2 linked regions of the Nothobranchius furzeri genome follow. The protein of the gene in region 2 purifies or fractionates together with the protein of the main gene of each other region. This does not show direct contact. Links are inferred from orthologs where the notes say so. Each region holds a gene or a part of one and is shown on either strand. Other genes may lie near its edges.

Region 1 (4,321 bases), on a different chromosome or scaffold from region 2:
AGCGGTGCGTTTATTCACCTGAGGCGGCTCGATGAACGCTAACCAATCAGACGAGTGCGTGGGGAGCAGTCCCATGGACTGACACTTGTAGATGGCCAGCGCTGCTCCCAGAAGGTTCCCGATCAGGTAGACCAGTCCCTGTAGCCACTGCTGGCTGGAGCTCTCCAGCAGCTTGAAGGCTGAGGACACAAGAGGACACCAGTGAGGACTAAAACCTAGAGACGAAGACAAACACCAGACTGGTGGATACTCACTGGCAGACATGGACATCAGAGCCTGGATGGGCCTCCAGGCCATCATGCAGACCATCATGATGGGGAAGATGGAGATGGTGTTGCCCGACATGTACATGATGAACAGGTTCATGGGAATCTGCTTCAGGGGCCCGAGGGCCACGTCCCAGCAGCGCTGTGGGACAGGGACAAGGAGACAGATGTTTAGACCAATCGGCTGATCTGTGACATCACGGGATGTATGAAGTGAAGAACGTCTTAGTTTCTCCTGGGTTTTTATACTTAAGGCTGCATTTACTGAGGTTTAACTTTAAAATGGTACAAACAGGTAAAACAAAAATCTAACTAGAGCCGAGTAGAACGGTTCCTCACCTTCTCCACCAGGTTTTTGTCCGTCTCCTGGATGCTGGTGTCAGGAACAGGCTTTTCAGAGTAACCGATGGGGTAGACGACGTCTCCCTGACCGCCCTGCCGATCGCTGCGGCTTCTACGACACAAAAAGCAACAGAAACAGATCAGCTACGAGCAGAAAAACAGATTTCTTCTGTCTACCGTAGGATGGTGCCGTTTTCTGATGCTAGTTTAGAACAGGGATTCACCGATACGATCCCATGTACTCGTACTTGTTACGCTAACCGATACCACTGCAGTTGCCTGAAAGTGGCTTCACTGTGACTTTTCATTTCTGCTGTAGTTTTCTACATTGACCACTAAAGTGTGACAGTGTGGGTTCAGGTGCTGTAGCTAGGTTAAACAGCACGTCAGCCGTGAGGACGTACTTTATAATCTGTCAAGATGACAGAAGCAAGGCCGAGTGCAAACTTTGTACCGACCCAACTTAACACTTAACGGTATTATAAAGCTTTTTTGGACAATAAGAATCATTTTGATGCAACAAGTGAATACAGAATATGTGGATTACAGATTAGATTAACCACACACTATTTCATCAGTAGCCAGCGCTTCAAACAGCAAACCCACACTGGGCTCGATCCAGAGGAGATACCGGAGAGCCAGCAGATGTCAGACCAACACCACACAGTCACTTCAGGAAGATCACAGGTCCACCTGCTCCTGTCTCCATCACTGAGACTCTAGGAGACCCATCACTTTCTGGGAACCATCATCTATCACACGCTCACCTGGGAGCTTAACAAAACAGCAGCCGCTGGGCAGATTCAGCCTGAAGGCACAGTGTACTTCTACTCGAACATCATCGAGTCTACCCCACCATCTCTGTGCTATCATCATGTCACAGATGGAAAGAAGCTCCAGCGTAACATCAGATCCACTGAGAAGGTGATCAGCTGAAACCTGCCCTGCCTGCAGAACCTGCATGCCTCCAGCTGACCCGTCCCACCCTGGACTATTAACAGTTTGAGCCTCATGCCTCTGGGAACATCGGAACAAAACAAACACTTTCCATCCAGCTGCAGCCTCCAACAAAATAAAAACCAAACTGTTTTCTACAACGTCCCTCACATCCTGTACAGATATTTACACGTTAGTCCAATAATGGTAAACGGCTCGTATTTGTATAGCACCTATAGGGTTCTACAACCCTCTAAGATGCTTCACAGTAGTCATTCACCCACTCACACACACAGGTGATGATGAGCTACATTAGTAGCCACAGCTGTCCTGGGGCACACTGACAGAGGCAAGACTACCATACCAGTCCCTCTGGCCACCACCAGCAGGCCAAAAGAGAACTGAAAGTTTCTTGCCCAAGGATACAACAGCGACAAACTGAATGGGACTCGATCCCACAACCTTTCAGTTATGAGACAGGCACTCAACTCCTGTGCTAGCGCCATCCCGATAATAATGTTCATCTTTAGCTAGAGGGAGAGTTCTGAAGCTCCAGCCTGGTCTTCTCAGTACCGTGTGTTTCCTACGCTCAGCTCCAGAGCCCATTTCATCCTCCGAGCCCCGCCGCCTCCTCTTGTGGACAAAGCCCCTCCTCCTTGTCCCCCTGGAGACGCCATGGCAACAGGCTTCACCGCTGGACCTCAAGAGACAGAAAACACCTAGAGGATGGAAAAACAAAATTAATTACGTAACTTCTATTTAAACCGATGTGTAAAGTGTTATTTAACCACAAAAAGCACTAATATAATAGAACAGAAAGTGAGATGAACGCAGTGAGAGTTCTGCTGGGTTTTTATTCAGTTTGTGCAGCAAATTAAGAAATAATTAAGCCAAATAGGCTCACTCAAAGTAATTAGTAAATGAATAAGACTGCACATCCTCCTCTGTCCCATCTTTACTCACTCCTCTTGTTATATTAATAATGGACATTTAATGTTTTGTTGTAGCAGTTAACTACAGATAAAAACACTTAGCACAGACTAGCTTCTCTTGGCATCATTTCCATTGATGATTCGCTGAAAAGGTTCTGGATTCATCCAGGAAGCACATACACACCCTTACAGTTAGCTGTCAGGTAGAGTGGTCTGGACCAGCAATTAGACGGGTCCAGCTGTTCATAAACAAACAGCAACTGACCCAAACAGCTAATATTTACTAGAACAGGAAGACAGGATGACGACGGGAAGCAGGATGATACTGTAAATTACCGAATGCTGAGTGTGAATAAAACCTCCGTCCGTCCATTAAAGATTAATTTACCTTATAGAACCATCCAAACCGCCGCAGCGAGCGTTTACAGAGTTTTTAGCAGGAAATTGGCGAAATTAGCTCGCAGGCAGAGCCAAAGAACAACTTGTTCCACGGTCACTACTGTCCTCTTCTCTGATTCTGGGGCCCGCAATTATGACGCACTTACGTTCTCTACGCTGACGAAGCGGAAACTGCGTCATAACTTTTCCGTTGTTACTACAAAATAAAACAAAATAGAATCTCTTTTTGCTCTATTTTAAAATTTCATCCTTGTTTTACAGCTGTTTGATTAAAAAATTGTGATTTGAAAAATCTTTGTGAAAGTTGCTATGTAAAAAGTTTCTACTAAAAAAATAATAATTTGATCTCTAAAAACGTATTTTTAATTCTAAATACAGGCAAAAATATTTTTCTTATTTTAAATTCTTTATGACTGTAATAAACCAAAAATATTAGGGTTGCAATTCTCTCCAAACTAGAGCTCAAACTCAACTTTAACACTAGAAAGACCTTAGTTCTGTTGTAATTTGGATGTTGAATTACTTTATCAAATAAAAACATGCAGCCCCCCTGACTTTTCCTAAAGCTGCACAAATTTCTATTAAAAACTGATTTTAATGTTTATTATGTAAACTACGGATGAGATGTGATAATGTTTACCTATTTTTGTCTGAGGCATTCATTTCCACTGCCAGAGAAGTTCTTGCTGATTTCTCAGGGCAAGATAAAGACAGAATATCTTAACTGGAAAACTCTACAGCCAAAGAGCATCTCCAGCATCCGACCAGGCTGTCTCTTAGTAATTTCATCGTTTCTGTTTGGTGAATTTATTGACCTTTAAATGCAGCAGTCCTAATGACTGGTCAGGGCAGTTTTAGTGTTAAAACAAAATGTAATAAAAACACAAGCATTTATTTGCCTTTGCATTCATTATTTCTTCCACCTTTTTAACAATCCCTCACTAAATGCAACCTTACTGAATGACTGATTTTACCTTGACAACTTGACACATCACATATGTATATAATCATGCAACTGTCTAGTTTCTGATGTCACACGATGTTGAAGAATAAAAAAACTACATCACAGACAGATTCACTTAGAAGCTTTTATTATGTGAAACATCATCTACATCTTCCTGCAGCAGTGAAATAGAAAACACCTGGTGAGTTTTGTAAAAGTTTAAACATCTGTGTACAATCTTCTTGACTGTCAGTTTAAGACAATACTGCTATATACAAACTTACTGAGCAGTGCAAACCAAGTGGTAAACCCAAAACAGTCCATACCTCAGGCACAGTGCTTCTGTCCAGTGTGTGCAGATTTATAAAGCAGTTTCCACTCAGAATCTAAACCAGCGTGGTTCTGAATGGATGAAGCTCAGGCTGCTACTCTTTGTTCATAAGCTACATAACAGTGTAAACTCAGCTTATTGCCATATATTTATATTTCATCTGAACTGCCTG
Region 2 (4,034 bases):
CAGTTCTCTTGTCCGCTCTTCCATCTCAGGAACATGAGTTCCATTCTGTCTCGCTCTGAACTTGAGACTGTTATCCACTCCTTCATCTCCTCACACTCAAGACTACTGGAACTCTTTTTTCACTTGTCTGAGCAAAACCTCCGTGAACTGTCTACAGGTGGGTCAGAGTGCCTGTGCTCGGCTTCTGACCAAATAGTCAAAAGTACACACACATCACCCCACTTCTCCTCCAGCTTCACTGGCTGCCAGCCAACTTCAGGGTTCCTGGTTCTGCCACACGTTCACAAGTGAATCTGTATTTTTATACATATTTTGTGCTGTGGCCATTTTAATTTTAAATCACTTAAAGGTTGAAAACCCTCATTCATATTCTATAAAAATATCAGATCCAATAAATTCATCCAATTTTATTCATTTACAAAAATCATACCTTCATACAAATCATTACATCTTGAACAAAAAAGGTGACAACATCAGGTAAAGTGTCTTGGAAGAATTTAATTTTCTATGAAAATGCAAACATGGAAGATAAAAACAGAAGTTACAAAGTATTGTCATGTTTGGAGGCTTCTTACATAAGGCAGAGTTAAAAAGGCACAGCTGGTTAACTCACTCCAAAGTTCTCATGAATCTACGGAGAGCAGACGGGCTGATGGAAGGAAACCCTAAGGTACACATGTACAATTAGACAAAACATGAACATGTGGTCTTCATGAGAGAACTGAATCTATATTCTTCTACGGTCAGATACTTTGATGCAGTCATTTTGTGCTTCAGAAGTGTCATTTCAAATGTTTTAAAATGTGACGAACACCACAGGGCTCCAACAGATTTAACCTTCTGTCTGTGTTTACTCATACGATTTTCTCCTACCTACTCAGAAAATTCCCTGGGAGGCAAACAAAACCAGTTACAAAAAACTCTTCAAGGAAGTTTTTAAAAATATATTCTACATGTTTTAAAGTACATTTGAGCTCAGAGGGACACTAAAGTCAGCAGCTTTCCCGTGGAAGCTCCTCTAGTTCACACTGGAACAGGAACTCACGACCCTCCGCAATGCCACTGAAACGAAACGAGGCCATGTAGTGGTGTTCAAAGGGCAGTCTGATTATGACAAATAAAACCTGAAATAGACATAGGATCTTCTGCTGCTTTATTTTTTAAGCTAGTTTTTTATATATACATAAAATAGTTTAAAACTACTTGGATTTGACTTTAAAACCTGCAAACTCTTAGAGCTGCAGTCCAACATCCAGTTAATGTTTGAATCAAAGTAGAATGCGTTGCTAAGAACGAGGACCACGGGACTCTGGTGGTTCAGGAGCACGACACAAATCATACAAGGACAAAAAAACAAAACAGATTTGAAATTTTCTGAATGGGACTCTTAAAAACCTGCTGAGGTAGGGTTTGCTTAAATGATCCTCTGCTACCTGTGTGTAGCTCTTGTGAATCAGGGGCGAACAAACAAGAGTTTATCGTGTTTAAATTCAGTTTGTAACAAGACAAACTTTAAAACTAACCACCAGTAAAGTAGTGAAAAGGCCATTTAACTCCACACGTCTTGCGAGTAGCGTCCCTTGGTCATCAGTTTCTTTACGTAGTCTGTGGCCTGGGTGCGTGTCATGCCTCCAACTTCCTCTGCAATCTCGTAGAAAGCCAGCTGAACATCTTTAGCCATATTTCTGGCATCACTAACAAAGAAAATGAAATGAACCTTTAGTCATATTTAATGTGGAAATTCATTAAAATAAAATTATGTTTCAAAATTACACCGAATTCAAGCTGAAAGTTAAACTTCGTTTCCTCCTCCACTAGGTGGCGCCCCAAACCCAAAGACAAACGTTTGTAATTAATCGTTGAAGAAGGTTCTTATAGATAAATGACAGTTTTAATAATTTATTTCTGATAAGAAAATTACCCGCAGATGTAGATGTGAGCGTTTTCTGAGTGAATTAGTTTCCAGATGGGTTCCTTGCTTTTCTTCAGGTGATGCTGCACGTACACCTTTAGTTTGGAAAGCAGAAAAGAAAAAAGAACTTTATTCAAGAGTTAACATGGCAAGGAAAATCCTTCAGGACAGAAACTTGTGCTTTTCATTAAGAAAATGAAAAATAAATGCACCTCAGAGCGAAAATGTTGCATTGCTATAACAATGAGTTTATTCATTCAGATTGAGACCTTTACCTTGTGATCCTGGTCTCTGGAGAAAGCCACATTGAGCTGCGTTAAGACTTTGTTCTTCTCTGCGTCCTCCAGCTCCTCCTGGTAAATATAGTCCTCGTTCTTGTGTCTACAGCCAAAAAACATCACTGTCTCTCCAACCTCCTTCCCTGTGAAAGAAAAGCAGCCACCAACATACGTACACATCAGTGTCAAAGTTCACAGGACTAAGAATTAAACGTGTCCAGGCACAAAGCATCTGAGGGCACCTTGCTGTTTGAGCCATCCCCTCTCCTGGATGAAGCCCATGAAGGGAGCGATTCCGGTTCCAGGACCGATCATGATCACCGGGTTTGAGGCCTTGAACGGCAGGCGGAACTGAGACTTGCGGATGTACATGGGAACGGTCGACTTGTGGCCGTTGACGAGTTTGTTTTTCAGCCAGTTGGTTGCGACTCCTTTATTGACGCGGCCCGTCTTGGTCTGGTACTCCACCACCACGGCGCAGATGTGAATGCTGTTGGGATGAACCTGCACGACAGGCCAGAGTTACGGCGAGCTCATTACACAACACCACTAATCCATCAGACTGAATTCCTTAAAGGGTTGTTACTTTAGAGGAGGAGGCGATGGAGTAGTAGCGAGCCTGGAGACGAGGCAGCAGCTCACATAGGTGGTCGATGGGAGGCTTTAGAGAGGGCATGTCCTCCAAGATGGCGAGGATGTTTCTACAAGCGTCCAACACCCAGTTCTGGTAGAGAGACTGTAAACCAACAGGAGTCGAGTTAAAAGTGAACCCAGTTAAAGTGTTTGTGTCAAAATCCTCCTGGAGTTCCATGTTGGTGCTTACTTTCCCCTCAGGGGATGACGATGCCATCTTCCTCATGTTCTCCTGATCTTTTGGGTCGGACGCGTACTGAGCCAGCTCGTACAACACGTTGGTGCGAGGAGGGTTAGTGATGTCCAGGTAGTGAGTGAGAGCCGTGCGGTAGGTGGTGGGACAGGGGAAAGGATGCTTCTTGTTGGACTCCTCTGCAAAAACAGGGACTTTATCAATTATACTGTCAGACATCATGGTTTGGACTTTAAGATGAATCCATCATCAGGAGTAATAAACAGTAGAGGTGTTACAGTATCTAACTCGTGCTTTTACAACTGCTGCTTCAGATAGGAAGTGAGGGTTTCGTGAGAATGTTGGAGGTGGGGCTTCATGAGGTCAAGGTGCTCTGTGTTGTCAGTGAAATACCATCAAGGTTATTAAGAGAGATAACCACATCAAGGTCCACGCCAAGGACTTCTCCCAGCTTGTTCACTAGAGCTGAGTCATTTGTAGGGAAAACGGCAACGTGGTCTCCAGACTCGTATCTGAAACCACAGAACATGACAGATTTAGACTTTGGCAGTCAGTGAGATAACGGAGCGTGATTCATCCCTCTGGCCTCATGACACCAAGGACCTTAAACACAGATCCAACCAGCCCCACCTGATCTTGGAGCCGGTGATATCCAACTCTAGGTGCATAAGGTGTCTGTCACCACCTTTGTTGAGCCTGCGGTTGACTGTGACTGTAGCCAGGAAAGGATTTTTAGAATCAAAGGGCCTGTTGAGAAAAATCAAAAAGAAATGTTTACAAAAATATTTGAAAAAAAGCAAAATTACATTTCCAAGAAGTTAAAAGGAAGCACAGATGTGTCTTATTTTTTCAGACTCATTTCTAAATTGCCCTTTATCTCTAAAATTCTGGAAAAAGTTGTGTTAGATCAACTTATTACTTTTCTGGAACGACACAATAGTTTTGATCCAATTCAAATCTGGTTTTCGTAAAAAGTATTCAACAAGCTGCAGACAACGGGGAGTTTACGGTGTTAGTA

The links.
Region 1: the proteins of porb (region 2) and emc4 purify together in Homo sapiens (affinity purification with mass spectrometry; 3 studies listed by BioGRID and IntAct, with this or other methods). This does not show direct contact. The link is inferred for Nothobranchius furzeri from reciprocal best matches to the Homo sapiens genes POR and EMC4.

What each region holds. Positions count from the first base shown.
Region 1 is NC_091742.1:80,310,359-80,314,679, reverse strand, and holds the start of emc4 (ER membrane protein complex subunit 4), read right to left. Parts: upstream 3,029-4,321; 5' UTR 2,865-3,028; intron 2,264-2,864; 5' UTR 2,222-2,263; coding exon 2,118-2,221; intron 721-2,117; coding exon 606-720; intron 409-605; coding exon 255-408; intron 180-254; coding exon 19-179; intron 1-18. UniProt on the Homo sapiens protein: Part of the endoplasmic reticulum membrane protein complex (EMC) that enables the energy-independent insertion into endoplasmic reticulum membranes of newly synthesized membrane proteins.
Region 2 is NC_091753.1:33,456,107-33,460,140, reverse strand, and holds the end of porb (P450 (cytochrome) oxidoreductase b), read right to left. Parts: intron 3,764-4,034; coding exon 3,647-3,763; intron 3,529-3,646; coding exon 3,410-3,528; intron 3,196-3,409; coding exon 3,014-3,195; intron 2,927-3,013; coding exon 2,777-2,926; intron 2,695-2,776; coding exon 2,433-2,694; intron 2,334-2,432; coding exon 2,188-2,333; intron 2,008-2,187; coding exon 1,922-2,007; intron 1,695-1,921; coding exon 1,550-1,694; 3' UTR 689-1,549; downstream 1-688. UniProt on the Homo sapiens protein: This enzyme is required for electron transfer from NADP to cytochrome P450 in microsomes. It can also provide electron transfer to heme oxygenase and cytochrome B5.